Rhinolophus ferrumequinum: one gene and its partners. The protein of the gene in region 3 interacts with the protein of the main gene of each other region in a biochemical or structural test. Links are inferred from orthologs where the notes say so. Each region holds a gene or a part of one and is shown on either strand. Other genes may lie near its edges.

Region 1 (7,208 bases), on a different chromosome or scaffold from region 3:
ATCTAGCCAAACTCCCTGAAGCCACACTTTCTAAGGTTTCCACTTCACAAATTCTTTTGAGAACTTGCTGAAAGGATGGCTCCTCTCCCCAGAAATACAGGTCTGCCCCTGCCCACCCTTGAGTTCTGTACACCATCTCAAGTTGCTCAGAGACGCCAGGGACAAATCTCCGTGTTACCAGAAGTGCCTCCCCATGGCCCCTCCCTGGCTCCCCACGTCCCTCCCTGGCTCCTCCTGGGCTGATCACACACCTGTGTGGATGGCCCAGCTCCGGAACAGGCAGGCATCCTTGTTGATGTCCCAGCCATGCTTGGCGGCATGCTTCCATGGAATCTGGAAGATCATCTCCTCCTGAACAGCACAAATACATGCACACAAGGCAGTGTCAGCTCAGAGACCACAGGCTTTTGGCCTAAATCTGCCCAGCCCCCCAGGTCTGGGAAAAGGCTTACTTCCTCTTTTCACCCTGACAGCTGGCTTGGGTTGACCCATCCTGAGATTGGCTTAAATAGGCTACTGTATAGCTCTGGACGGCTCAGAAGGGGTTCAAATAAGCTGTGGCACCATCAGCTCAGCAAAGACCCCCCTCTGCCTGTCACAAATGTGCTGGAACCCATACAATGCACCCTGGGGTGCTTCTCTGGCTTGTCAGCACCAACATGGAAATGAGAACTCTGTCCATTAGAGGAGGCTGCTCAGGACACAGGAGGTCCTGGCCATACACCTGAAGGAGACTCGGATGCTGACTACCTGTGTGACCCTGGCACTGTCACTGCACCTCTTTGTCCCTCACCGTTTTCTGTGAAACAAGAAAACACACTGATAAATATAAAGACTAAAGCCTCACTGTTCTCATTACTGATAGTTAACAGTATGGATTTCTGAGTCAGACTGCTCAGTTTAAATCTTGGAATCAAAGCCACTGTCTACCTCTCAGTGCCTCAGTTTCCTTATCTGAAAATGGAGATATTAATAGGCTCTCCCTCACAGGGCTATTTTGAGGATTAAATGACACAATGTAAGTAACATACTTAGCATGGTGCCACACTCACTTGTGGGGAGTGTACAGTAAGCAGTCACTATTATTATGAATACTGTTATTACTAGTGAGCAGGGCCTGTGTTGCCCTTCATGCACCAGCAAGAAAGTTCTTGGGCCTGGGCCCCTGGTACAAGGTTAATTCTTGGGTCCCCTGCTGAGCCAGCCACCTTCCTGCCAACAGTGCCCACTTCTCTGCCTCGTATCTGTCTTGACTGGAGCCCTGTAAGATGCCATACGTGTTTGTAGGGCTCTGTCTCAGGAGACACCAGAACTCCAGCTCTGCAGATGCTGGGAGAGTCTAGCTGCTGGAAACTGTCAGTGACCTCAGCTGGGTGCCCTGCCCATGCTTCGTGAAGGGAGGAAGGCAAACCATGGGCAAGTGGGGCCCAGGGCTGGGCCTGGCACACTCCCTGCATGCAGGACCCACTGGGAAACACATCTGCCTCCTCCCTACCACTTCCCTTTTTGAGTTGCATCTGACGCTTTGGTCCCCCAAAGAACATGGGTTAAAATGTGGCAGGAAAACCCAGAGTTACACTCACTTTATTAATCCAGATCAGCCCTGGGATCTGGTTGGAATTAATCTGCATCTCTAGCCAGGGTCTCATGCGCATGCGAGTGATGGGCATCTTGGCTGTGAAGAGAAGACAGAAGGCTACTGTTTGGAGTTTGTTGAGCAGACCCTGGGCACTACCCTACCCACCCCATGTCATTCAGGTACCCTCCTCTGCCCTCCGCCAAGTACCAGGTACTACAATTGCGGGGAGGAGGTTTTCACTGGAATAAAACTGCCCTGAAAATCTTTTCAGTATCTTGGGCAAAAAAACACTTCTGCCCCTTCCCTCATCTCCTCCTAGACAGTCTTGGGAGGAGACATGCATGGAAGTGATGGCTGCAGGATTTATGTGCAGGAAAATGAGACATAATACACAGATAGCTTAATACCAGAACTTTTCTCCCCAAATTCAAATCCTTTGGGAAAGGAGGGGTGTCTTTTGCTTAATGCCAAGAAATTTCCCTGTTTAGTTGTCCCGAGCTGTGCACCTTCCCTAATGGGCAAGCAGTCACCCTGCCCCAACCCCCCATCTACTCTACGCCACCCTGACAGCCACAGTGCGGAGGCTGGGACGCTAACCCTTCCGGCCTGGCTCGGGTGTTCGGAAGGAACACCTGTGGCGCCTCCTCCCGCAGCTCCCGCAGTTCCTCCAGCCACTCAGGGCAACAAGCCCCAGTCCCTGCCACCTGCATAGACAGCCTGAAACCCGGGGCCTGGAAGCGGAGCTGGGACCGCCGCGAGGAGCACGGGGCGCCCACGCGAAGACCTATATCCGAGTTCCCCGCACCGCTTTGGATGCGCGCAACCGACATACCCCGCCAGCCAGAGGCCCCCGGTGGCTTCACGCACACAGATCTGAGAAAGCGGCCGGGCGCCGGCAACCTCCGCCAGTGGGCGGTCCACGCCGCGGCCCGCCCTCCCCGCGCTGCAGCTCGCCGCTCCTCCAGCGCCCTCCGGAGCCCGCGCGGGGGCCCAGGCAACGCCGCGCGCCCACGACTCTCTCGCCTGGGGTTTTCGGCCCCCACTTCCTCGAGCCCCGCAGGCCTTTGTTCGACGCCACTGGTACCCCCCGCGGCGAAGGCGGGCTCACCTCTGCAGCAGGCGCGAACCGGCGGTTGTGCCCGAGGGTCCCGGCGCGGCGCGCGCGATTCCGGGTGAGAGCGGGGAGAAGGAAGAGGATGCCCGGGTCGCGGGGCCGCTGGGCACGGCTGACCTTGGCTGGGCTTGGCTGGGCTCTGCTCGGCCTTTGCTCCGGCGCACGTCCTACCTCGACGAAGGAGTGGCGCGCTCTGCCGGGGCAGCGGCGCCGGCCAGCGATCTAAACACTTAGCGGGATTCCCCCAGCCCCGCCGTGGCCCCGCCTCCTAGAGAGCCGCGAGGGCGCCTATTGGCCAGCACCGCCCCATCATTTCGGGGAAATCAGGCTGTTGTAGAGCTAGCGGCGAAGGGGAAGTACAGGGCGGCAGCTCTTCCCCACCTCCCCCACCCCCGGCCCGGCGCCGCCGCCCCGGGGCGACCGCGGGCCCGCCCCGCTAGCTCCCACTCCACCCCCACCCCAGCTCGCCCCTGAGAAACGCTGTCCTGGAAAGCCGAAAGCCCCTGGCCTGCAGTTACTCCCCGCTCCGCATTCTCCCATCCTGCTAGCTCCTGTGGCCATCTTCTCACCCTCCTCTCTGGAGGGGGAAGACGTCTATCTCCTGAGCGCAGGTGAGGGGATCACCCGGACACCTGCCACCCTCTGCAGAGTGGACACCGGGATTGAATTCCCGAAAGCCAGGCTGGTTCCTCAAGCTGCCAACGGGATGCCAAGAAGGGAGGGTGTCAGCCCTCACTGCCTCACACTGCCTCCTTCTTGAGGGGTGACCCACCTTCAGGGGCCACTTCTTGAGGGGCCACTCACCTGCCCTGAGGAAGTAAAGGAAAGCCGGTCCTGCTTGGGGATGCTGCCTGGGGATGCTGAGCGAGAGGAAATCCCAGTCTGGCAGCTGCTGGTATAGCCTGCCAAGGGACTCCGGACCTCCTAGTTTCCTCAACTACAAAATAATAGCCCTACCTGGCCGGTTTGGTGGAAGAGAGATGGTATCTGTAAAGCCCCATGCCCCATGCTGCGTGGTTTGTGAGGTCCCGGGCCAGTCTTATAGTGAGCAGGGAGACACCTTCCCCCTTCTCGGTCTGCATCCTTGGGACTGCCCCACAGCTGGCATTAGGGAAAGGGGAAAAGAAAGGTTTCAGAGAAGCCATGACTGCTGAGTTGGGGGGCGGGGGCTGGCGGGTCGACTTGGTCCCTCTAGCACTCCTACCGTAAGGCCACCTCCACAGCCTCACCTGGCCCTTGCATGGGAGCTCCTCAGTGTCAGCTTTGGTGTTGTCTCTGAGGACTCGGGGATTTCTTAGGGCTGGCCAAGGCCGTGGGTCTAGCCAAAGGGTTAGGGAGCCCAGGTCCCAGGGGCCAGTTAACTCTTGTGATTACAGGTAGACCTTGACTTACCTGTACTCCTAGAGGCTGGACTGGGCGTTCATTTTCTATCCAGAACTCTGGCCCAGCAGACTACTCCTTTCCTCACCTCTCCAAAGCTGCTGACTCAGGAGTAAATTGCTCTTCGCAGCAGAGCTGATTGTGTCAGGCCCTTCTCCGGAGCTCTCCCTCCAGGACAGCACCCAGTTGCAATGGTGCAGACTATAGACACGTTGAGGCAGCATTCCACCTGCCACTCATTCCACTGCCTCCTTCCCACAGAGGAAATGGATGGGTTAAGCCAATTCTGGTGGTGGGTGCAGGAGCTGGCAGAAGCAAAGAGGAGGGAAGAACTGCAAGGAATGAGCCTAGCTGGGTGTTAAGCAAAATGGAAGGTCCTGAGGGCCTGGAAGGGGAATTGTTGGGGTGCTTTAAGTGACAGATGAGACCTTCTCAGCAAGAAGAGCAGAAACAAGTGGCTCCCACTTCGTGAAGTCTGTTCTCTGCAGCAAATGGGTGTTTGTTCTGTCCCTAAGAACCTGACATAACCACTGGAAAATTCAGAATGAGATTAGGGAGAGGAAGTTTGAATTTCATGTGGTCTGAGAAATTGACCACAATGACCCTGTATAGGCAACAAGTGTGTGAAAGGTGCTTTAAAATAAGCACTTTATATTAATTCACAGATATTAATCTGTATGTGTATGCGTAATGTACATCTTTCCATGTCGTGAAATGTACTTCTGCAATATCATTTGTAATGGGTACATATTATTCTATCATTAGGATAAATAAAAACTTACCCAATTACTCCCCTATTGTAGGACATTTAGGTTATTTCCATTTTTTCATAATGCAAACAACACTGTGTAGCGACATCTTTGCACACATCAATAATTTTTTGCTTAAGAGAAATTCCCCAATATTAAGATTTACCAATGAAATTGTCATTTACATCTTTGAAGTGTTCTTTGCCGTTATTTTTTTAACTTTCGGGATTCTATTTTATCTTGAAGCCTCTAAGAAGCATCTGTTTATCATGATTGGGGGTACTCCAAATCAATAAAATAAACCTAAACCCTGTTCCAGTACCTCAAATTTTTATTGTAACTGCTCTTGATGAGTCTCGTTCTACCATGTATCACATTCCCTGTGATGCTAAGCAGAACACAGAGAGCCTTCCTTAGGTTTTTCTTAGTAATTCAGGGCTGGCCTTTTCCCCTCTCTGAATCCAATACTCATTCATACTCTGTAATTCCAGCCATCCTCTCTGGGCTGGTGACCACCAAACCCAAGCTCTGGCTGACTGCTGGCCCCCCCTACAACCTTCTCTACGGATTCACACACACACACAACAGGACTCCTGGCCTCCCCTTTCCACACAGTCCCCATCAGCTTTCTCTCGTCCTAATTCCAACTGCCTCTCTGGTGAAGGCTTTCCCATCCTCCTTCCCTCTTTGCTTTACCTGGTCCTCCGGGTCTTCCTTCCCCCACACCAAGTCATGTTTTCACATTCCAGAAACAGACAGCCTCCCCTATTGTCACAGCCTTCCCTGGGGCGTGCACTTGCATGCGCCTCTGCACAAGGATGATCTCCCTCACTATGAAGATCTCCCTAACATTCAGGACCACCCAGGAGCCTTCTGAGTTCCCCCAGATTCCTCAGCCCCCCATTCAAATCACTGCTCATTCTGGTCCCAAGGATCTCATTCTAACCTCTCCCACAGCTCCCCTACCCTTGGCAGTAACTAGAGGGCTGTGGGAGAGAACACAGGATTTGAGTCTGAAAGTCTAGGTTCTTGTGCTTTTGCTACTTGCTGTGTGGCCTTAAGCAAGTTACTGTCCCTCACTGGGCCTCAATTTTCTCATCTGTAAAATAGAACTACTCTCGCCCATTTCTCCTAATTATTGTGAAGATAAAATTTGATAGACTATCAAACTCCTTTCTAAACTGTAAAACATTAGTCAAATGACATGTAGTATTAACAGTAATGCACGAACTTTTCACTGCATTTCCATTCTGTGAACACACTGTATTTTTCCCTCATGTCTTTGCTCCTTCCATTTGCTCCTCATTACTGACTTCCTGGGATACTTAGCAACACTCCCCTCCCCCCTCCAAGCTCAGTTCTCCCCTTCTCACTACCCCCTCTCCCCACACAGTTCAATTTCAGTCTCCATTTTAGGGCCCAGAGCAAATGCCTGGTCTTTTATGAAGTGCCCCCAAAGCAGCCAGGCAGAAGTCCTTCTCCTCTTCAAAACTCCCTCACCTTTAAATTTCCTGTTGGCTTTTCTCCACTCATCACCTTCTTAGTGGTGACCTTCTGGGGAACAGTCTGCATTTTTCTGCAAGAGGCCTGAGTTCCTCACACCTGCACCTGGAGTTAGCTGGAACTTAGCTCTGGAGCAGGGGCTCACAGGACGCCTCCCATCTATACTGTCTCTCGCTGAGGGTAGATTTATTGGGCAGTTTCTCTGTATTAGGGTTTTCTAGTCTGGCAGGAGGAGCTGGCTGGCTAGCAATCAGGATGCTGGAGGCAAGATCACCTCTGTGGGAGCCTCTTCCCTGGTAGACCAAATTCTGTCCCCAGCCCCCTCCCTCAGGCTCTCAGAACACATTGCCCTCCCCCTCCCCCCAGCTGTGTGCAGTTAGTCCTGTGGTGCAGGACACCGAGGCTTTAACTAGGTCTTTGAGAGTAGTAGGGCAGCCCTGGGCCCCTGTGGGATCTGCTATCCAGAGAAGTGGCCATGGTCCCCAAAGCACCCCCATCAGGTGTTCCGGCCTTCCCGGTCCAGATGCTCAAAGTCCCTCCCAGCCATCATCTCTATTTCGTGGCAAACCTGGGAGGCAGTTCTAAACTGTTAAGTTCAGAGAACAAATCGGGCATAAAGTCATCTGAAAGCATCCAAAAGCTTGAGAATAGAAGCCAGGCATCTTCACCCTGCCTAGGAAAGGATCTCCAACTAGGAAAGGATCCTAGTTGGAGAGAAAGGAAGATGTTTCTTAATTCATTTTACAAATACAAATCACACTCTCGTTCCGGTTCAACTCCAGGTTTGGCCCTGGGGATATGCTAGGGCACGAGACTAAACCCTCCCCTCTCACAGCTCTGGCAAAAATGCTGTATGACACAGCAGAATAAACATTGGGCAGTT
Region 2 (7,669 bases), on a different chromosome or scaffold from region 3:
GTTGTAAAGAGAAAAATTTATAGGAGTGAAGCAATGGTCAATCTTAACTCTTTTTTAGTGTTCTTCCTGTACATAGACAAATGAGGCTTACTCTGCAAAGCACCTGGTAAGTGCCCCAATGCCTAATATATAAAATTATTGTATTTTTCTATTAGTGGAAGAGCTAAAAAGCCAAATACGTGTTCTATAGGGCTAGATTTAGAGTTAGTATTAAGGGGACCAAAGTAGAATATCCAATAGTCAATTAGGTTGGAGACTAAAAAAGGCAAAGCTGTCTTCTCATATTAGGTCTTCTTTTCTATCACCTTCTAGGCCGAGTCACAATTTCTAAATGTCACTTGGACACAATAAGTGCCTGGTCTGCTCTGTGGTTCTCCCAGAAGCACCCAGCCCAACTTTTATTTCTGAGTTATAAGTTCATACAGCACACCTCTCTGCTGAGATGTGAAAGGAGACATAGGTGCCATCTGAAATAGCTCCAGGAGAGATTTAGGACACTCATAGATAATAATGGAGATTTAGGAAGAGCTCATAGATAATAATGGAAACTTTGCGATTATAGTTACTTATATGATCCATAGCAGTGCCTTCTGGGGAAATGTCTTGGACAAAATATCTTTATTCAAAAGAACAGCAATATTTATTGTAATTAGGATAAAGTAGGATAAATGAAATAAGGGGAAAGCCTTTGGACAATTTGAAGAATGGGGTGGTTTAAAGTCAAACCTATAATTGTTACATTTTTCTATTCTGCATTATTAAGAAAACAGTGCTTATACAGATTAAAAATAGAGACGATGGCTTAAAGATGAAAACCATTGACTTAGATCTCTATTTGAAAGGTCAATGTGTGGGAGATGAGAAAGGCACTGTAGTGTGCAGAGTGTTCAGCAAAAGACATGTTAGCAGCAGAACCTACAAAGACCACATCAGCTATTTATATCACTCACATCAGGTTGCTGGTGATTTCACTTATCAAAAAAAGTAACAAATGTATTTTCTTTGGACATTCTTTGAGTATAATAACAATGCAGTTTGGGAATCAGTTGTTAGAAACTGATAATTAAAGCTGGTTTGTCATGTTCACTATTCTATATAGTTAACCTCCCAGAAGCTTTATATAATTCTCCCTTTGTTACAAGCTTTTGTTTCTCCCTACGGCGTTCTGAATCCAGACAGGTAAAGAACTGAAGTGCTTGGAAACCAACATGTATTGTGTTATATGCACAGCCAAGCAGATATTTGCCTTTGAACTTGAAAAAATTATTAAAAAAAAAACCCACAAATCTTTCGGTATATTAGATGGGTTCTGCTACTTAGAGGTTTAAGCTCTACCACTTGGGTAAGGAGATTTCTTGCGTAGAAGGAAAAAGTGAAGAAAAACGAAAAATGAAAAAGGATGCTTTAGTATTTCCTTCAGGAACCTACTTGACCCTGGGAAAGGGAGGAGATTTTTTTTCAGCAGCTCCTAATAATCACCTGGTATTGCTGTCAGGCTGGCCAAATATCTGCCAACATTGCTGATCCCCTCATTCATCACTAGAGAAAAATAGAGGGACATGATGTTTCGAGAAGCAGCAAAACTATCTCCCGTTTTCTTTCTTCAGCCGATGGAGGTGTTTGTGGGCCAGTCTCATATTCCAGCACTTTAGTGCTGGTGATGCACATCCTCTTTGCTCCAAAATAACTCTGTGCCATGGGAATTGGAAAGGATCCCTCCTCATGCTTAACATCAACAGGGTATAAGTGAACCCAGTTTCTTCCCAGGAAGTGGATTTCAGAACTTCTCAGATGATGGAAGAGTAATCCTCACCTCAGGTAGACTCCAGGAGAGGGGCAAAGAAGGGCATTCTTATAACAGGGACTCTGGGGACAAGCTCAGCCACCCAGAAACAAACATAGGACATTTTATCCCTCCTCAATCTATTATTTCCCTTCATTTGACTTCATCTTCACTTTGCCTTTTCCCACCAAGTAGTAGTTGATATTCAATTGAGCACAGCTCAGGTTCTTACCATGCACCTAGAAATCAGGGAGTCCTTGTCCTTGGTTATTTGTAAAATAAAGAAATCTCTAGCTCACACTAGGCTGTGTGGACAGGATTTTCATCTTTGTAAACCAAAGTAGGAGTAGGCCTTTCTCCTACTCTTTCCAAATTGCTCTCCATTTAATTTTCCACTGTGGCCCTTACTTCCCCCAAGCTGACCAGGACCATACACAAAATCAGCTTCCAATAAATATCAACATTGAAGGTTCAGCAGGTTGCTAACTCTTGCAGAGTTATCGTGAAAGGATGTTGTATATAAATGCCAAGTTTTATGGAGACTCAGAGATCTCTAAGAACACTTTAAATATCCCTGGTTTAATTAGTAGTTTTGGAATTAGGTAATGGCCTGTGGCTTCTAAGCTAGGTCTCTTGGGGTTTCTAGTCTTCAGGGGCTGCATGCAACTATGATGTGCTCATACAATCTTCTGTCTCATAAATTGAATAAAATCCTCTTCAGACCTTCCCAGGCACCTATTCTCAATTACTGCAATACACATGCAAATTGATCCCCATTCTTCCAGATCTAAGAAAAGAAAGAACCAGTGCCTCAGCCTAGATCTCAGCTCAGATACTTTTGGACTCCGATTGTCTCCTTGAGTTCTACTTCCCAGGGGAAAGAAAAGGAAGAAATTCCTAGATTGATGACCATTTTCTCTAAGCAGGAGGTGCTTAGAGAAAATGGGCATCAACTCGCTTTGCAGCTGATCAATGTCGGGATAAATACGCTCCAGTTCTCAGCATTTCTGAACCAGCTCTCTCACCGGGATAGGGCAACTAAATCGAAGCTGTAACCAGATTTGACAAGTTTATTCTGGGCTGACGGCCATTGACTAGGTTCTCCGACTAGATAAGTCACTTGGCTGAGTTTACAGTAGGTGGGGCGCGCTCACCAGCTCATCAGCTCAAGGGTAGTGACTGGAAGTTTGTTGCAACATCGTTGAATCCAAGCAGCGGGCTGCAGCAGGAGATACCCTTTTGCCCCGCGAGCAAGGCACTAAGGAAAAGGTTCGCCCTAAGGAGCATCGGGCACTAGCAAGGGAGAGGCACCAGACTCCCGGTGGCCCAGCCCCTTCTCCCACGGTTGGGAACGCGCAGTTTTAGTCGACTCAGAGCTAGGCGTCTCAGGTCTCGGCCATTTAATTTGTTCTGTGGGTAGCAAGCGGAGAGTGGGACCAACTTGGGAACTCTCGCTCTGTGGTCTGCAAGAATCAGCGGCGGCAGCCACTGGTGCGGGAGGCGGGGGCACGTGCTTGGATGTGGGTGCTTGTGTAACCAGCTCCCAGGCGTCAGCCCCGACAGCGCTCCGGTGGGTGGCTCGCCTGAATCAGTTTTTCCGCCGCGACCCTGCAGGCTCTGGGGTCCCTTGTCCGAACAAAGCGGGAGCACCCCGGGCGAAATAAGCGAACCACTCGCCTCGTCCAGCTATCATAGGGGAGTGGGAATTTGGAAAGTTCCCCAACTAGGAACACACGTGACCTCCTCCTGAAAGTAGTTCCGACTGTGGCCGTGTATCCCTCCACCTCCTTTCGAACCCTCCTCTGTCTCTTTGGCCCCGCCTACTCGCAGGGGTTGCAGCTTCCTACCGTCCGGTACTTCACACTTGAGCCAGCAACCCCGGCCTGCAGCGTGCACAACCCGGCTTGGGGAGCACGGAACCTGGCCCTGGGGCGATCCCGTCCGGGTTTTCACAGCTGCCCAAAAGGGGCGGGGCGAGGTAGCCTCGGAGGATCGAGCTTGAGTTCGACGCGGTGAACCGAACTGGAACCCCGAGGGGGGGGCGGGAAGTGCTCAGCCCTCCAGGGGGCGATGCATGGTGGAGCCCACCTGGGGATCCGCTTTCAGTCCGCTTGGACAGTTGTCTTTTGGGAACTGGAAATTCAGGGGCGATGCGCTCACACTCAACGTGCTTGGACGGGAGCTCTCACTTTTAGGGCAAACGAGCCGACTTGCCGTGGAAGCGGGAGGTGGGGCGGTGAAAGAGAGCCGGATGAGGTGATACACACTGGAGACACAATAGGGGGTTGTTCTTTGTGCTGAGACTGACACCTTGAGAACACGGGGGCGGGGGAGGAGGGGAATGGAGATGGGTTTTCTGGGAAAGGCTGCTGCAGTCAAATCCCTGCGAACGACAGTGATCCAACACCGGTGTAAAAGGAGAGTGAGGCTGCCTGCAGGCCGTGTCGGGGAAATCTGGGGGCGGAGGCAAGCGGAGGGGGTGTCATCGCTGCAGGGACCGTTCCTGCGTTTCCCTGTACACTGACCAGCGCTGTCACCCGCTCCTTTGCACTTGTGCACAGGTAACCTCAGACTCGAGTCAGTGACACCGCTCAATGCACCCGCTTCAGCTTTCACCTTCAGCCCACCCCTCCCCCCACAACAGCCTACCCTGCCTCTGGCTGGGTTTCTGGGCACAAATCAAGGATTAGCTAGTTTCCCCGTCCTGCGTTGAAGCAGCAGCCAAGGCAAGTGCTGCTACTGGCGGGCGCCTCGGAACATGCCCGAGCGAGCCCTGGGTAGTCACACTGGGCATGCTCAGTGGCGCCTGCAGGTTGGGGGCTCGGAGCTCGTACACGGAGCTGCCGCTCCTGCCCCCTCCCTGCTCCCTCTGCCCTACGCCGTCCTTCCCTCCCCCGGCGCGATCGCGCCTGCCTCCCGCCTCCCCCACGGACTCCCGAGGCGCTCAGGCTCCCCGCGCGTCGGCGGAGGGGGCGGGCAGGCCGGCGGACGGTGATGTGGCGGAACTCTTTGTGCACTGCGGCAGGATACACGTTCGGACGCCGGGACGCGGTTGCGCTCAGTTCTCTCCTCTCGGAAGCTGCAGCCATGATGGAAGTTTGAGAGTTGAGCCGCTGTGAGGCGAGGCCGGGCTCAGGCGAGGGAGATGAGAGACGGCGGCGGCCGCGGCCCAGAGCCCCTCTCAGCGCTCGTGAGCAGCCGCGGGGGCAGCGCCCTCGCGGAGCCGGCCGGCCGGCGGCGGCGGCAGCGGCGGCGTTCCTTGCCTTGTCTTCGTCTTCTTTTCTAACCGTGCAGCAGCTTCTTCCTCGGCTTCTGAAAGGGAAGGTGGAAGCCGTGGGCTCGGGCGGGAGCCGGCTGAAGCGCGGCGGCGGCACCTCCCGCTCCTGGAGCGGGGGGGAGAAGCGGCGGCGGCGGCCGCGGCGACTACAGCTCCGGGGAGGGAGTCGGAGTCGCCTGTCACCATTTCCAGGGCTGGGAAAGCCGGAGAGTTGGTCTCTCCCCTTCTACTGCCTCCAACACGGCGGCGGCGGCGGCGGCACATCCAGGGACCCGGGCCGGTTTTAAACCTCCCCTCCGCCGCCGCCGCACCCCCCCTGGCCCGGGCTCCGGAGGCCGCTGGAGGAGGCAGCCGTTCCGAGGATTATTCATCTTCTCCCCATTCCGCTGCCGCCGCTGCCAGGCCTCTGGCTGCTGAGGAGAAGCAGGCCCAGTCGCTGCAACCATCTAGCAGCCGCCGCAGCAGCCATTACCCGGCTGCGGTCCAGAGCCAAGCGGCAGCAGAGCGAGGGGCATCAGCTACCGCCAAGTCCAAAGCCATTTCCATCCTGCAGAAGAAGCCCCGCCACCAGCAGCTTCTGCCATCTCTCTCCTCCTTTTTCTTCAGCCACAGGCTCCCAGACATGACAGCCATCATCAAAGAGATCGTTAGCAGAAACAAAAGGAGATATCAAGAGGATGGATTCGACTTAGACTTGACGTGTATCCATTTCTGCGGCCGCTCCTCTGCCTTTCTGTCACTCTCTCTTAGAACGTGGGAGTAGACAGATGCGAAAAATTTTCCATAGTCTGGGTGACTATAACATTTAACCCTGGTCGAATTTCTAGCTTATGGACATTTTGTGCCTCTTTTGAATGCATTGAACGGAGGGTGTGTTCTGCTAGACGGAGCTCTTGCCTGGTTGCAAGTGTCAAAAGCACCGATTGGTTTCTTAGTCTATGTATGGGGTCTCTTCCTAAGGGCTATTGTCCGTTAATACAGAATACAGTACGCTGTTAGTGGATTAGTGAGCTCGGTAATCCGGTCTACTAAATGAGCAGAAAAATAGACGCTTTGAGGTTGAGCCTATCTCGATTAAATTTTGGCTTTAGGCCCTAGATCAAGGGTATAGATCAGATTAAAATGAAAATTAGTGTTGCACGTACGCATATTGCATCAGAATCTTGCAGTGATTGTTCTTAGTTTTCTGGGTTGCATTGATAGACTCTTAAAATGTGACTTGGGAGCTGATTTGCATAATTTTAGAAGCAGACTCATTTTTAGCATATATGGTGCTCATTGGAGGACAAAAGTAGGGTTTGTATGTTTAAACTAAGTTAATTACAACTTTGACCTGTATTTAGGAGTTGTGTCGTTTCACATCAATAGTGTCATCCCTCATAAGGCGCTTTTATTACATCGTTGTTAAATTTGCCTTTTTCTCTCTTGATGGGGTGATGTAGCATAGGGCATGAAATTTGCAGTTCAAGTAGTATTTTATATTCAGTGCTCGTCACACGTAATAGAATGGAGATTGAGTGTTTTTTGATCCCAATGATAATGTGTAGGTTCAAGAGACTGTGGCAAATGGTGATTGCAGAGATTAAATTTCAGTTCTCACTTGAAATTTAAGTATTGTGATGCCAGAACTGCTACTCACCTTTTGTAGACTTCAGGTCCTCTGACACCTTTGGGTTTCCCTTAAGTCTACTCCGAGTTGTGTAGAATGTCAACTATGATTTACCCGCTAATGACCAGAAATGCTGGCAAGAGTGGATTACTCCAGCTTCAGATTGTAGGTGTGTTAGCTTTTTTCCATAGTGTTAAATTTACTGAGTCAGCTTGTTGAATAAGATAGAAACCCCAGAAATTTTAACTGTACAGTTTTGGTTGTCTAAAAGTTAGGCCTTTGTACTTCAAAAGGTAGTGGTTATTGAAAGGCATTAATCGTTGTAGTTTCAGATATAATAAACTGGTTTTAATCAAGGATGGGGAGCTCTCCTTTTTGTACAATGGGAAGTATCACAGTAATTGAATTATTGGTAGGTCAGTGTACAAGGCATGAAAAACAGAATTAAGTTATTGATCTGAGGTGACTGGAGCACTTTGTTAAGGCCTCAAATTTGGTGGTGTGAACTGTAGCAATGGACAATATTTAGTTGAAATTATGTAATTGCAGAAGTATTAATAGAGTAGTCTCAGTAAAAATTATTTCTTAGCAAATGTCAGTAAACATTTTGCTTAAAGGTGACACGTGTGTATGTCCTAAAAATTATGGGGGAGGTTTTTTGTTTGTTTGTTTGTTTTAAAACTTTTTATATCTGAAGAGGTTTTATTCCTTTGGATTATGTAGGTGCACATAAATAAATGTGCATAGCTACTTTTGCCTGAGTTTTTGTTTTAAAATGATGATAAAAGTTACTGAAGAAATAGCTTTACAACATACAAAATGTAACAGTTTCTAAGTTAAAAATAATATTGAAAAAATAATTGGAAATTTTGGGGGAGATTGCATTAATTGAAAACTTTGCTAAGGCTGAACTTGACCCGCTTGCCTAGAAGATATTAGGTAAAAACTCAGAAGTTCTGATTTGTAACAATGCAAAAGTAGTGTACTACTGGTGTGAATT
Region 3 (7,443 bases):
ATAACTGCCCCCACAGGAGCTGGCTCCGGGGTGCCCTTCCACTGGCACGGGCCTGGGTTCTCAGAGGTGATCTACGGCCGCAAGGTCAGCACAAGGTGGTGGCTGAGACTTGGGGCTCACTGACCACAGCACAAAGAGTGACCTTGCTGCTTCCACCCCCAGCGCTGGTTCCTGTATCCCCCTGAGAAGACACCCAAGTTCCATCCCAACAAGACCACACTGTCCTGGCTCCGGGACACGTACCCAACCCTGACGCCATCGGCACGGCCCCTGGAATGTACTATCCAGGCTGGTGAGGTCAGTCACTGGTAGGAGGGGGCGGGGTTGGGCTGAGGGCCCCCAATTCATCCCTGTGCCCTACCCCATCCAGGTGCTATATTTCCCTGACCGATGGTGGCACGCCACACTCAACCTCGACACCAGTGTCTTCATCTCCACCTTCCTCAGCTAGCCAGAGCAGGCAGCTGGCAAGTCCCATCGCACACCGGCACACAGCCCTATGACTGCTCACAGGTTTTATTACAGGGACAGTGGTGGCAGCAGCAACCTCAGCCCAAGCCACCCTAGCCTGCTGTTTCTGGCCCAGAAGGGGGACGGGGAGGCTCATGGCCAACCAGCAGACCTGATGGAGGATGGGGTGGGGACACCAGAGCAGGGATCCAGGGGCACAAACTATGTACAGGGGTTGGGGGCTATCGCCCCAAGGCCCTCCTGGGCCAGGGTGTCAGGTAAGGTGGGGCCAGTGGCCCTGCCTCAGTAGTCCTCCACCCAGCCATTCTCGGAGATGAACGCGTCGATGACTTCTTTCATGGCCAAGTTGGGAATGAGTTGTTCCTGGGTCAGGGGGCTCCGGGTCACAGGGTCAAAGTGGCCCACGCGCTGCAGTGACAACAGGGTCAGACGGTGCTCAGTGGGCCCAGGCCCTGCCCCCAGCGCCTGTGAGTCCCTCACCTGCAAATGCTCCTCGATGTCCTTTCGGTCATAGGTGATGCCACTGGGCGTGATGCACGGCTCCCGCATCAGCTCAAAGCTGATCTTGCCACACAGATAGTCAGGGATATCCCGCTTCTGCCTCACACAGGAGCAAGTTAGGGACCAGGAAGCGGACGCTGCTCCAATTCCTGCCGCCCACAGGCCCCAGAGAACACACCACTCACCTTTCTCTTCTCATCCACTTGAGAAAAGAGCTCATCCATGTCTGCTAAGTACTTGTCCTGCAAAGAGCCAAGCAGCCACGCGTGGGCCAGACACCACATCTGCTTTCCCCAGACAGGCACACTCAGACCCCACGGGAGCCAGGGCCACCCCCCCGTCACATGCGCACAAACACACACAGACCCACGTGAGGGCACACTCAGACCCCACGGGAGCCAGGGCCACCCCCCGTCACATGCACACAAACACACACAGACCCACGTGGGGGCCGGGGCACCCTCACGTGCTTGGCCTCGATGCAGGCCTGCTGGGCCCGGACGTGGCCGTCGTCCTCATCACCCTCATGGTTCCGCTGACACTCTTCCAACTCCCTGAGGGTTGACCGGGAGCGGGTCAGAGAGGTCTGGCTAGGGAAGGTCACCTTCCACCCCAACCTTGGGCTTGTTCAGGCCTCATCCCCCCGTCTGTCTCCTGTTCACCAGTGCTGGCCCTCAATAAATACTTGTGTTCGTGACTCAAGAATGGTGACTTGTGGGGGGTCCTGGAGCCTGCCAGCACAGCCCACCTCTCCCGCTCAGCCACAATGAGGCGCGTGAGGTAGGAGTGCAGCTCGTTTTCCTGGTGGATGCGTCGCTCCTCGATGCTGTTCCAGCGCTTCTTCTTGGCGATGCGCAGAGCGCTGGGAATGTCATCTCCGAAGTTGAGCCGCTGCTCCTTCGCCAGATTGTAGGCTGAGGGAATAGAGTTCAGCTCATCCGCTGGCCAGTCCACCCGCCTGGCCCCGGGCACCCCCACACCCTGCCAGCCCGGAGGCCCACCTCGCTGCAGGTTGGCGATGGCCTCGTCATAGCTCTCCATCTCCAGCTGGCATTGCCCCAGGAAAAAGTGTGCCTTCACAGACTGCCCGTCCAGCTCCAAGGCACGCCGGCAGTCGGCCAGGGCCTGCTCATGCTGCTGCATCTTCAGGTAGCACAGTGCCCGGTTTGTGTAATACACCGCCACCAGGGGATTCCGGGTCTGGGGACCAGGACCGGCCAGTCAGCATGAGGGCGTGACCTCAGCCTGCCCCCGCAGTCCTAAGGCCTGTCCTGGCGTGGGGTTCACGGCTGGAAAGCTGCTAGTATCTAGGTTTCTCAGCTTCAAAGCTCCTGGATCCTGAGGATGGCTGGAAGGTGGCGTCTGGTCCTGAGGCCTGCCCGAGCCCACCCTCTTGACTCCAGTAGGTTCTGTAAGGGTAACTTTCCCAGACCTGTGGAAATCCCTGGCCTCCCGGGCTCTGAGGGCCTCAAGCACCCTGAAGCTTTCACCCGCCATAGTTCTCCGGCGGGGGGCTCGAGAGCCGCGGCTTCGGCCCCTTTGGAACGAGATCACCATTGAGTCCTCAGACCCCAAACGCCACCCCCGTCCGGGCCCAGACACTCGGTAGGTCTGGCGGCGGCGGCCAGGCAGGCCCGGCAGGCCCCGCCCCCTCCCCTGGCCGGGGCGCCGGCCCCACCCCCGACGCGGGCACACTCACGATCGCGCGGCCATAGCAGGCCGCCGCCTCCGGATACTTGCGGCCCACGAAGAGCCGGTTGCCTTGCTCCTTGAGCTCCTGCGCGCTAGGGCTCTTCTCGGGGCTTCCACTGGCGGCGCCCAGTCGCGCGCCACCCTCCTTCTCCTCCTTGCCTTTCATGGCGCCGCGCGGCACGGCCTGGGCTCCGCTCCCAGGCTCCGCGCCCGGCCCGCCCTGTGCCCGCAGCCCGAGCCCGCAGCCCGAGACCGCGATCCGCTCGGGCCCGGTCCAGCGATCCGCCACCGGAACTTCCGGCCGCGCGGGGCGGGGCGGAGCGAGCGGGGCGGCCGGACACGCGCGAGTGGGAGGGACTTCGCGTGCGCCCGACGCTCTGTGGGGGGGGCCAGCGGAAGTGTGCGCTCGGGGAGACGCGACCCACGACGTCGGAAGTCTGGAGAAGAGCCGAGAGCTGCCCAGGTGGCTCCGCCCCTCGCACTCGGGGCTGGTCCTTCCAGAAGTCGGTCCGACTCACGCCGCGCGGCCCGCCACGCCCATCAGAGGCCCCGTCCCCGCGGCCGGTCCCGCCCCCTCCGAGACCCGGCCCTTGAACATGGCGGTCGCCTGCGGGCTGTGGGGCTGTGAGGACCCGAGCCGCTGGGCCGCCATCCTGGCGCGCCACGGGGAGGTGCTGCGGGCGCGCGCGGGCCCCCGGGGGCAACTGGAAGCCCTGGATCGATGGTAGGGCGATGGGGGCATCGGTAGGGCGGGCGACCCCCGTTGCCCGGACTCCCCGTCACCGCCTTTTCCCAGGTACCGAGAGGATTTGCCCATGGCCATTGAGGGCCGCGCGGAGAAGCACGTGACACGAGAAGAGCTAGAGCGGCTGCTGGCGTGGAAGCTGGCGGTGAGGGGCTTCCACGTGGGGGGCGGAACAGCGGCGGGCGGGCCCGCCTCCTAGGGGCGGGGCTTCACCTGGGGGTGGCCCCTCGCGGCGTGGGGCGGAGCTCCTTTCAGGAGGCGTGTCCTCATGCTGTGGGGCGGGGTCCCCCTGGAGAGGCCCTCCACCAGTGACCACCCCACCCAATCCGACTCGGCCACAGAGGGGCCGCTTCCGTCCTCGCCTGCAGCAGCTGGTGGCCACCAACCCCCCGGAGCAGGTGGTGCAGTGTTCGGCTGCTGCCTTCCGCCTCCTTCCAGACATGCGGGCAGCAATCACAGAACTGTGCGCCCTCCGGGGCGTGGGCCCCGCCACGGCCTCGGGTTAGTTGGCAGAGCTGGTCACACCTGCAGGGTCGCGGGCGGGACCTGGCCTGCTAGTGTCTTTGAGATACGGGCCGATGCCCAGGCCCATGATGCAGAGGGTCCCTGGGAATGACAGTCCACACTGTGGTTATTCTGAGCCTGGTGGGGTCTGAGTGCTGGCCCTTCACTGCCCCCAGCGGTCCTGGCTGTTGGAGCTCCTGAGGTGGCAGCCTTCATGTCCGATGAGGCAGTGGCTGCAGTGCCCGGCCTGCCAGCTCTGCAGTACACGCTCAAGCATTACCTGCTGTACCTGGGCCGGGTGCAGGAGCGTGCCAGAGCCCTGAGCAGAGGTGAGGGGACTGTTGGTGGGCCAGCAGGGTATCCAGGACTCCAGTCAGGGGGGAGTGTGCAGAGCTGTTACGAAGGGCAGGGTGGCCCGTGCCCTGAGCCCTGAACCTCTGTGCCTCCCTAGGTAGTAACTCAGGGTTGTGGACCCCTCACCATGTGGAGACCGCACTGTGGACCTGGACTGTGGGGCAGAAGCTGTGCCCAGACCTGCTGCCTGACCTCAGCCCCAGCCAGGGCACCCCTGAGGCTACCAGGCCAGCCAAGAAGCACAGGACTCAGGCCGACTGAACTTGGCTGTGGCCCAGGGCCTGCTCACCTGCCGTGTGATTGTAGCAGCTCAATAAATCCTTGCTGAACTCACTCCTGACCGTGAGGTCCACCGTCTGCCCCCGCCAGCGGTACCCACCTCCCATACAAACACATCTTACACTAGGTGCAGAGGAGCAAGGGAGAATCCAGGCCATCCACACGGAGGAAAGAGCCCTCACAGTTTGCTCGAGTAAGGGGGGAGGCCAGGCCAGCCTCCGGAGCCCTGTACAGCCACCTGGTGCTGTGTAAAATATTTATTCATTCTCCAAAAAGGCTCAGACTGCAAGTCCTGGGGGAAGGCCGGGGCAAGGTCTCCTCTGGGGCCACCCTTGGGACCTCTACCGCTCAGCCTGGCCCAGCAGTCCTACCCGCCCCAGGCCTGGGAGGGGGGCCAGGGCTGGTGTAAGGCTTCGCCTGGACTCAGTGGGCCACAGGGGCCACCTGTCCTCACAGGGGAGAAGCAGCCTCGAGACGTACATTCACAGAGGGCGGACATGCAGGCCACCCCCTGGCCCATGTGGCCCCTGGGAGCTTGTCAGGGTGGCGGGGGAATGTGGGCGCCCAGCAGGTCATAAGCGAAGATGTTCCAGAAGATGGCAAAGAGCAGGAAGGTGCCGTAGGCAAGCAGCACCACCCACCAACCGCACTGGTCCCGCAGGCGCTCCTCGTAGCTGCGCAGGATGGTCAGGCCCATGCTGACCCCCACCACCGCACCAGCCAGGTGTGCCATGAAGCTGGGCTGTGGGCCGGAGGCAGGCAGTGGCGGGGAGAAGCGCAGCCACACAGCCCGGCCCACCTCGGAGCTCACTGCAGAGGGAAGTGGCAGGTGGGAGGGGCCCTTGCCGGGGGCTCAGCGCCCCCCTCCCAACCCTCCCCCAGGTCCCCTACTTACTGCACACCAGAGCCAGCACCATCCTTAGCAGCTTGTAGGGACACCTCATCCCAGCCCAGTTCTGATGGAGCGTGAGACAGGCTGTGAGCGAAGCCCGGGGGACCCCTCCCCCACCCCACCCTGGCTGTCCCGTTACCATGACGACGTTGGCCAGGTGTGCAGAGCACAGGGCGTAGACCCCGCCGGAGCCCCCCACCACGGGGGCCCGCATGTCAGTAATGGAGACGGTCAGGGAGCCTGTGTGGAGCAAGGGGACACCGTGAGGGTGAGGCCCACAGTGAGGTGGCCGTGGGGCACCACCTGCCTCACCTGCCAGCACGCCAGCCAGGTAGAGCAGACTGATGCGCAGCAGGCCGTGCACCATCTCCAGGGGCACCCCGATCATCAGCTGCAGGAGAGCGTTGAACCCCAGCTGCTCCAGCCTGGCCGTGTGGGGGCAAACAGGTATGGGGGTGGGATCAACCATCAGGCCCCCAGCTCCGGCCGCAGAGGGCTGAACCCCCCTGATTCAGCCAGGGGTGCTGGCAGTGGGCCCCCACTCACCCAACGTGCATGAACATGTAGGTGAGGAAGCGCCAGGCCCGAGCTCGGTGGCCGGGGTGGTACACGAGGGGGCTCTTCATGTACTCGGGGTGGTAGGTCTGCAGCACCCACTTGTTGAGGCGTGCCCCGTAGCACAGGAACACGATGATCTGGGAGAAATGGGCATTAGGGCCAGGCCAGGCCAGGGAGACAGGTGCCAGGTGGGCAGGCTCACCTGGGCAAGGGTGACAGAGGCCATGAACACAGGGGGTGGGCAGCTGCGGTGCCGGTAGAAATACCAGTGGCGATCCACCTCCCGGGGCAAGATCTCGTAGGCCACGTAGCGCACGAACCGCTTGTAGACACCCAGGCCCGGCTCGTCCAGCAGCCCATCCCGGGGCAGTGCCCGCTGCCCGTTGGCGATGGCCCGCTTGAAGCTGCTTGAGCGCTTGCTGCTGATCTGGGGGGGTGGGGCCCAAGCATGGGACATGGTGCCCCCCCATGGCCTCCATGCCCACCTGGTCCACCCGGCTCCTCACAGGGTGTAAGGCCCTGCCCCAGTGGGAAGGGCAGAGAAGAAGGGCCACCTGCCCACCCAACTCCAGCCAGGGCACTGTACCGGCCCGGGCCTGGGCCCCCGCCCCTGCTGCCCACCCACAGTGGCACTGACCAGGTCCACCAGCTCCTGGTAGCAGACCTGGCCCCGGTCGTTGCTCTGGGCCAGGGCCACCAGCATGTCCAGCTTGGCTGGGTCCAGGGGCAGCTCATGGCTATGCACCAGGCCGGTGAAGGTGTCCGCACCGATGAAGCCTGTGTTCTCAGGGTCCAGCTGCTGGGGTGGGGTGGGGCCGCCCGCCAAGGCCTGAGGGTGGGCCCAGCCCACAGACCAAAGGGCTGGGCCAGGCCAGCTGGGAGAGGCAGTCTCCCAACACCCTTGGGCCAGGCCCCTGTGCCCACATGGTCCCAGGAGCTGCCAGAGCACTGGTGCCTGCTTGCCAGGCCTCCAGGGGTCTCCCCACCTCATTTTCGCCCCGCTCATCCTGGAAGGGTAGAGCCAAGATCTGAGGACAATTCCCCTCCCTTCCCCCTCCCCAGGCGTGCTGGTCTGGCTGGCCCTTTCCTGGGGTGTCAGGCAGGGGGCCAAGGTCGTGCAGGAAGGGGCCTGGGGGAGTGGGGGCTGGGCTGGGACTCTGCGAGCTCAGCCCAACGGTGGAGGGCCGCGACGGGGGCGGTGCCGGCACCCCCGTCCCCACGCACCTGTTCCTGGATAAGCTGCAGCAGCGAGCTCCTGTCCATAGAGCCAGGCCGGGCTGGGGGCCGGGGTCGGCGGCCGTGGCCGGGAGGGGCTGCTCTGCGGAGGACTCCGCTCCGCCCCGGCCCGTGCGCTCCGCCCGCTCCGCCCGGCGCCGCGTCACGGAGCTGCCCGCCCCGCCGCTGCCGCCGCCACGCGCGGCCAGAACACGCGCGCGCCCTGCACGAG
Region 4 (6,994 bases), on a different chromosome or scaffold from region 3:
AAGGAGCGGTGTTTTCTGTGGTAGACCACATTCATTTTGCATGCCAGCCTTTCAGACTCTCACTCGCCTCGCACGGAGAAGGGAGCAATGGTTTGCTTGCTCCCACACCTCTCCTTCTGCCCCATTTTCCACATGGACATCTTGCCCAAAGTGGGTGTCCTTCTGTGAGAACTGCACGGACGAACAAAGTACCATCCCAGGAAGAACACAAGATGTTTTCCTCTCCAGCTTGCAGCTGGGAAGGGAACAGATGCTGTCAACTATAGACAGCAAGAAAGGACTACGGTGCAGAGTGCGGCTGCTGACCAGGCTACGGAAACAGGGCTGAGGAATCGGAGCGAGAACAGTGTGTTGGGGACCATGGTGATTGTCCTACCATCGTCCCTAAGGCAATACCTCAAGTAGTACCCAAAGCAATGGCATTTGGCCACCCCTCCAGCTCCCGGGAGTGGTGCTAATCCAGACAACTGAAACCGTGATGTTGATGGATCACCTTGATAAACTTAACTGGGAAATTGCCAAGATTTCACTTTGATTCTCTGAAATTAAATCTCATTATTCTATTATTGAGATACAGATGATGAAAGGCCTCGAGTTCCTTTTACTGAGAGGAAGAAATGAAAAGACCTTCTGCCAGGAGCCCTTCTGAGTCTTGGCTGGGGTCTAGGGTCTTCTCCCGACAGCCCTCTTGAAAACTAACTGCTCCTAGTTCCCACCCTGGGGTGGGTGGGTGACGGTCCAGGGGACCCAGGAGCTGTGGGGCTGTGTTAGGGGCCAGGCTCCTTCTCTTGCCTGCTGTCTATGCCGGTCGCCGGGTCCCCTTCTTATCTTTGTTGTCCGACCGGTAAGGACCGAAGGCATGCCAGCACCACACACAGAAATCCAATCTATTGCCCAGTGAAATCTTTTAAAATTTCCTGAATCTGCCTTCCTGAGTTGATAAAATAGGAAACAATCATCATTTGGTGGGGGGAGGTGTTGAAAGCGAGTTAAGGCAGGAAGATCTTTTTTCTGTTATTCTACAAATATTGCTTCCTTTGCTTGTTAGAGACCCAGAGGAAATGCAGCGAGGGAGCAGTTCGCAGCTTCTCACCAGTGGCCACTGGAGCCCAGGCTGCGAGGATGTGTGACTCATACATAGCGCATGATTCAACTTCACTAAAATGTCCTCAGCTGCCAGTAAAGCAGCACTTGAAAACCCTTTAATTTGAAGCTTTGAATCGGTTAATGACTTGCTTTCTTCCCCCTTCTTCTGAAATCCTCTCCCCACCACCGCCAACACACACACACATACACACACACATACACGCGTGCGCACACACACGTCAAGTGTTTAAATTTCAGGCACCCAGCAACCTAGAAACTCTGTGGCATTCACAACAGCGTTTGTTGTGACAAAGTGCCTGGCAGCCCTCTGCATGCTCCTGCTCACTTGGCTGTATGAATAAATAACGAGTCACAGATACTATTTGGGTGCGCTCGAGAGTTGTAGCCAGAAAATTAATTATCCCCCAACCCATCCCACTCCATCTCAGCTCTGCCAAACCATCAAGCCACACTTCGCAGGCATTGGTTAAAGTGCGTGCCCTGACACTTTGCAATGCCTTTGTGACATTTTTATTGTTTTTGTTGGTTTAAGCACGGCCCTCCTTTCCCACCAAAGATACACAGAACGAGCATGCACACACACACACACACACACACACACACACACACACACACTCCTCACCTCTACAGCTTTGCACATTTCAGGAGGCTGGCTGCAAAAACGCAGACAGGTTTTCCACATTAGCTGTTCCTGTTAGGAGTCCTGCAATCTGATAACTTAAGCTGCAGCAACGTTTGACTTAGAAAACGTCTTTATTTACTCTTTGTGAGACAGACCCCTGGAAGAGACAACTTGCTTTCTTTCTCTCTTGAAAGATGCCGGTTGCCTCTTTGCATTGAGACTACAAGGAACAACACAGCACAACCTCATCCCGGAACTTCCAACCTCAACAAACCTGCCCGGCTCCTGCACTCTCTGCCTCTTGGGGACAACCAAGTGGCCCCTTTGTCCCTGAAGTCTCGCGGCTGGTCTAATGCCTATCTGCGTGCCTACTTCAGCCTCCGCCCCAGGCTGGCACAGCCCTCCTGGCCGGCAGTGCATGTGCCAAAGCCCGGGGCAGGCTGGAGTGTGGGCCACACAGCGTGCTGAGTTCAGGGTAACACAGCCGCTGTCATTCCGAGCAAGGGACAGCAAAAGAAAATCCAGAGAGCTTCGTGCAAGCTTTATAATCTCCAGGACTTTAATCAGGAACAGCCCAACTTACTCGCACTTGACAAAGTTTTCACACACCGACTGAACACTTCAACAGCTTAACTAAGTATTTATTAAAACATTTCTGAAGAGCTGCCATCTGATGGATAAGTAATCCAATAGCCTTGTAATCATATGCCTGAGTTTGAATTCCTCCCACCAAACAGACAGGGAATCAGCCAGTCTATCTGCACGAGTTACAACAGGCTGCCATTTCATTATCTGCAAAAGCTGAGCAAAAGTCGATATTAAAAGACCAGCATGTACTCACCTCTCATGAAGCACTGTGGGTATGAAGGAAATGACTCAAATATGCTGTCTGAAGCCATCGCTTCCTCCTGAAAATGCACCCTCTTCTGAAGGCGGGGGATTCAATGATTTCTTTTACCTTAGGAGCGAAAACCAAGAAAGGTCACTGTTTTAACTTCACCCCCAGCCATGGCTCCCCACATCTCTTTTTTCCCCCTCCTCGATACCTCTGGGGCTCCCTGAGCCCTATGAAAAATGTACCTTTGCGAAAACAAATATTCAAATTGTTAAAGATTAAAAAAAAAAAAAAGCGGTGTCTTGGCTGTGGGTTGATGATGTTCACCGCTCTGCGAAACCCTGTGGTTTGCAGCCAGTGTGATTCCTCCTGCCTGCTGACCACTATGCCGGGCTTAGACTTCTGACACTGCCAGCCTACCCAACTTGTGGTTCTGTGGTTGTTTATGAGGCCCAAAGAAGTTTTCACACAACCCAAATTACAAATTTAACTGTTCCCCTTTCCACAGCTCTTCTTAATTGGTTCTTGCCCATCACGTGACTTCAATGATGTCAATTTTTTTTTTCTTACTTTCTGAGCAATGCCCTTCCTTTCCTCCACCTGCCTCCCCCAGGCTGTGCAAGAAAATAGCCGAGTAGACTTTGCAAGAAAGCCACTGTAGAAAAAAGTGACTCAGTCTCTTATTATATCAATGGTCTTTGCTGATTTAGTAGAACTCGGGTCCTGTTGTTGTTATTTGTGGTTTTTGGAACTACTGATTATTTTGATTAAGATTTCATTGCCGCTTATTCAATAGTAATTCTACCCTGGCACCGGGCTGCTGTTAAGACAGGAAGTGGATCCCATCATGTAAGATGCTGGGCGTCCAATGCTCAGGAGAATTCAGCCCTTGGCAAAGACTATTACGGCATAAGTGAAACTATAAAAGGGAGGGGGGGAAAAAAGAAACAAAAAGAAAAGGAAATGTTTTGGTGAGAGTCTGACCCCTAAAAGGATCTAGCAACTTACCGGTATTTTAAAGCCTGAAAAAAGGAAAGCATATTAATTTTGTGATGAAAAGATCATTTTAATAAAACCAAAATTACGTGGTTTTATTCCTCCCAAATGGACATCTTTTCAGCAAAGAGATACCATCATAGTACACACACAGATACACACTCTCAAATTAGGAAGCTAAAGGAAAAGAAAGAAAACAGAGGTTTTATATTTTGGGTAAAAGCAGTGGCTACTTTGCAACAGTTTATTTTGTTTTCACCTGCGAAAGTTCACTGCCTGCCTTTCTGTAGCTCTGTTTGAATCAATAATCCCCACCTGTAGGTAAAACTCAGCCGGGTGCTATCATAACCACACTGAATGCATTAGGGAGACAAATGCATGATACATAGAGGAAGCGGAGGAGACGCTTCTCCAGAGCAAGCCCCTTCTCGGGGGTTGACTCAAAATCATTCCACAGCTCATCTGCCTTCGGGAGAAGACATGCCTGTTTGGAGGTGCTGAAAAATAGAAGTTTGTTTGTGGGCAAGCCATTTTGGGCACACATATTTCTTTCTTTTTCCTGCTAGTTGGTTTACCTGCTAACGAGTAAAATATTGTTCTTGGTAAAGTTCCCAGATAAAGTAAGACTCTCCTTTCCCAATTAATCACTTTGTTTTGCTGCGATCCACATGCATCCTCCATGGCATTCTGGACACTGGAAGTTTCAACGCACACACTCAAGAGAAACTGAGATGATGAATTCTAAATGCCAACCCTGGATCCCAAGCTGGCCTACAGGAACCAGCCAAGGCACTTTGGAAAGTCTGCTCTGTCAGAGTGACCCCCGATGTTTTCCTCATCCACTCCATTTCGCCGACACTTACAGTGATACCATGTTCAAGGGCAAATGGCCCTGTTCCTTTAAAAGGAATAGACATGAGTTTTACTTACTCCTGTTTTGACTAAAGCAGGAATTGAAACTCAAGTGTCTGCTTTCTCCCAGACTGGTGTAAAGTTAGCTTGCTCAATGCTGACACCTTATTAATATTTACAAGAATGATAATGTGCATATTTGTGTTATGAAGTTTATTAATATCCAGATGTCATGTATGTTGCGTATGACTCGCAGTGCAAATTCTTTGTTAAGATACTTCATGTTACGTTCCTGTGCTCCCCAAGAAAGCCAAGTCTGGGTTCAGCCCCACAGCAAGTCCCTTGTTTACTACACTTACTATTCCCCGGGAGGCTCCTGAGAGCTGAAGGCTGTAACGCGCAGCTGCCATTTCACAGTCGGCTCAGACTCAGTGATGACTTAGAACTTCAAGTGGCGAAGCAGATAAATCCTTTCAATGTTTCACTGTAGAAACTCCCAGATGCTTTCAGCTTTAGGTGTTCAGATGCTTGAGGGGTACGTTTGGATGTGTCAGCTTGCTGTTGGAATTCTTGGCTTTTCTCTGAGGGCCTAGCTAGAGCGGAATGCGCATTTTTCCCAGTGGAGTCTTTGTAGGACAGGCCAAGTTTAAAGACAACTGTGAGTAAAGCTGGGGTTGGCTGTAATCATTTGTAATCAATCGTCAGGGCTGGGGTTTTGAGGAGGCACCAGGGGGCAGAATCTGAAGGCATGCACCTCCGCCGGGTGCTGCCTTCCTCTGGGTTATCTGACACAACAGCCACAGCAGAACTTCACAGCTCGGTGAGGCGACAGTTGGAGCCTTTCTGGGCATCTTCCAAGTCATGACAATTAGCAAAGACTGAGCCGGTGGCTGATGAACTTGGCCTTACCACTTCCTTAGGAGCCCAAGACAGAAATACCCGTATGTCATCGGTGAGCCGCCTAGAGGAATACTCAGTCCTCTCTGAGCTGGAGCTGTTTAGGATTCTTTACGTTTGTGCAGTGACCCACACCCTCTGTCCTACTTCCTGCAAATGACTCAGACCCTGGGCTGCTGCCTTGGGAATTGTACCCAAGTGGCTACAGCCGACTGTGGCTTTGCCAAGGAACTGGATGGCAGTTTCCAGCCTCACTCAGATTGGCTACAGCTTCTACATGTCACTACTGGGGGGAGGAGAATATGCTCAGGTGTCATTTTTAATGGCTCTATAAATACCAGCAAAGGTGGAAAGACGCATCGTTGCATAAGCCTGTAATTAATGTGTAGACTTCTGAGTGCAGTCCAGTCCAATGAAAACATTGCCTGTTAGGTATCTTCATTACATGATCACTGTATGCTCTCTCTGAACACGCTTATTGTAAAGCAGGTTCTCTGGCCAGAAAATGGACCCCAAAGCGGGGCCCCCCAAATATCGGATGTAGTCTAACCTCCAAGGAGGGTAATGCCGCTAAATTCTCTCTCTGTAGCACACATTCTCCGTATTTTTTAAATCTTAGTGTTCCAGCAGAGGTACTATCCAGAAACTTCTGTGTCATGCTGAAAATGACCTCAGTGACGATTTTTAAACTGAGACATGGATGTCAGGGCTTCCTGGAATGAAAATAATCTGATCTTGGCAAATCCAGTGATTTATAATAACGAGAGAGCTCTTCAGGCCCCACAGTTACAGACCGTTCTTCCTGGAGCCCTCATGGTGGTGTCCACAGTGGGACACATGCGTCTGACGCACACGTCTCTTGGTCCTTCAGGTACAAGTACCATTCAAATGTAAGTCACCACAAAACTTTATTTTATAGTCAGACAAGAGTTTCAGCTTTTTTTCCCTTAACCTTCTCTAGCTGAAGATGTGTGGCTCTGTGAGGAAACAGGATTTCAAAAAATAAAAAATAAAAAAAGCAACTCATCAAATGAAAGCTGTCTAATGACATGAAGCGCTGTTTCATGGTCATTGTTTCACACATAAGAGTTGAAAGTGCTTCATTCCACGAAGTGGGGCCTGTGGGTCAGCCCCAGGGACACCCCCCAGGGACTTGTTAGGAATCAGGGCGTGGGCTCTTCCCAGACCTACTGAATCAGAGCCTGCATTTTCACAAGATCCCCAGGTGAGTCCTACACACACCAAAGCTTGACAAGCCTGGCTCTGAGGGGGAAGCCTTGCCTATGTAGGAATTTGGTAAAGACTTAATATGCTAGTTTTCTACATTCTTGGAGATTTCTTTTTTCCTTACAGCTTTCTGAAAAGTCTAATTTTTCTGTCTCGTTGCCTTGGCATGATTTTGTAAGCCCTGGAAGTTTCTAGACGGCAGAAACCCACGCGAGGCATGGTTCATATCCTCTAAGATAGAGCTTTCTTGGATTATCTCTGGGACATCTCCTCTCGAGTGCTGGGTTTGGGTGAAGTTTATGGTTTGAGGTTTGACACACAATGTAGAGACTCCCGTGCGCTCCATGTACCAAGCTGGTGGCCACATGTATATAAACAGAAGGCTTTTTTCCTCCAGGGGCATCGGATTCTCAGTTTTCACCTAGTTTGCAATTTGGAAACACATTAATCCTGTGAGT

The links.
Region 1: of the proteins of STUB1 (region 3) and IRF1, one has a biochemical effect on the other in vitro, tested with the Homo sapiens proteins (4 studies listed by BioGRID, with this or other methods). The link is inferred for Rhinolophus ferrumequinum from reciprocal best matches to the Homo sapiens genes STUB1 and IRF1.
Region 2: the proteins of STUB1 (region 3) and PTEN form a complex in vitro, tested with the Homo sapiens proteins (2 studies listed by BioGRID, with this or other methods). The link is inferred for Rhinolophus ferrumequinum from reciprocal best matches to the Homo sapiens genes STUB1 and PTEN.
Region 4: the proteins of STUB1 (region 3) and RUNX1 form a complex in vitro, tested with the Homo sapiens proteins (3 studies listed by BioGRID, with this or other methods). The link is inferred for Rhinolophus ferrumequinum from reciprocal best matches to the Homo sapiens genes STUB1 and RUNX1.

The regions. Positions count from the first base shown.
Region 1 is NC_046307.1:8,819,777-8,826,984, forward strand, and holds the start of IRF1 (interferon regulatory factor 1), read right to left. Parts: upstream 3,014-7,208; 5' UTR 2,688-3,013; intron 2,606-2,687; exon of another isoform or gene 2,412-2,605; intron 1,676-2,411; 5' UTR 1,671-1,675; coding exon 1,584-1,670; intron 352-1,583; coding exon 252-351; intron 1-251. UniProt on the Homo sapiens protein: Transcriptional regulator which displays a remarkable functional diversity in the regulation of cellular responses.
Region 2 is NC_046299.1:33,168,381-33,176,049, reverse strand, and holds the start of PTEN (phosphatidylinositol 3,4,5-trisphosphate 3-phosphatase and dual-specificity protein phosphatase PTEN), read left to right. Parts: upstream 1-4,666; 5' UTR 4,667-5,682; coding exon 5,683-5,761; intron 5,762-7,669. UniProt on the Homo sapiens protein: Dual-specificity protein phosphatase, dephosphorylating tyrosine-, serine- and threonine-phosphorylated proteins.
Region 3 is NW_022680357.1:2,621,790-2,629,232, reverse strand, and holds STUB1 (E3 ubiquitin-protein ligase CHIP), read right to left. Parts: upstream 2,831-7,443; coding exon 2,672-2,830; intron 2,173-2,671; coding exon 1,974-2,172; intron 1,887-1,973; coding exon 1,658-1,886; intron 1,527-1,657; coding exon 1,439-1,526; exon of another isoform or gene 1,381-1,438; intron 1,306-1,380; exon of another isoform or gene 1,215-1,305; coding exon 1,158-1,214; exon of another isoform or gene 1,069-1,157; coding exon 952-1,068; intron 880-951; coding exon 754-879; 3' UTR 501-753; downstream 1-500. Other genes in the region: JMJD8 (jmjC domain-containing protein 8), read left to right, coding at 17-84, 163-297, 371-451; uncharacterized protein LOC117019799, read left to right, coding at 2,829-3,388, 3,461-3,554, 3,751-3,910, 4,090-4,242, 4,365-4,528; RHBDL1 (rhomboid-related protein 1), read right to left, coding at 5,085-5,356, 5,442-5,502, 5,578-5,678, 5,751-5,863, 5,985-6,133, 6,199-6,423, 6,634-7,002. UniProt on the Homo sapiens protein: E3 ubiquitin-protein ligase which targets misfolded chaperone substrates towards proteasomal degradation.
Region 4 is NC_046285.1:100,669,061-100,676,054, forward strand, and holds the start of RUNX1 (runt-related transcription factor 1), read right to left. Parts: upstream 3,020-6,994; 5' UTR 2,810-3,019; intron 2,688-2,809; 5' UTR 2,629-2,687; coding exon 2,571-2,628; intron 1-2,570.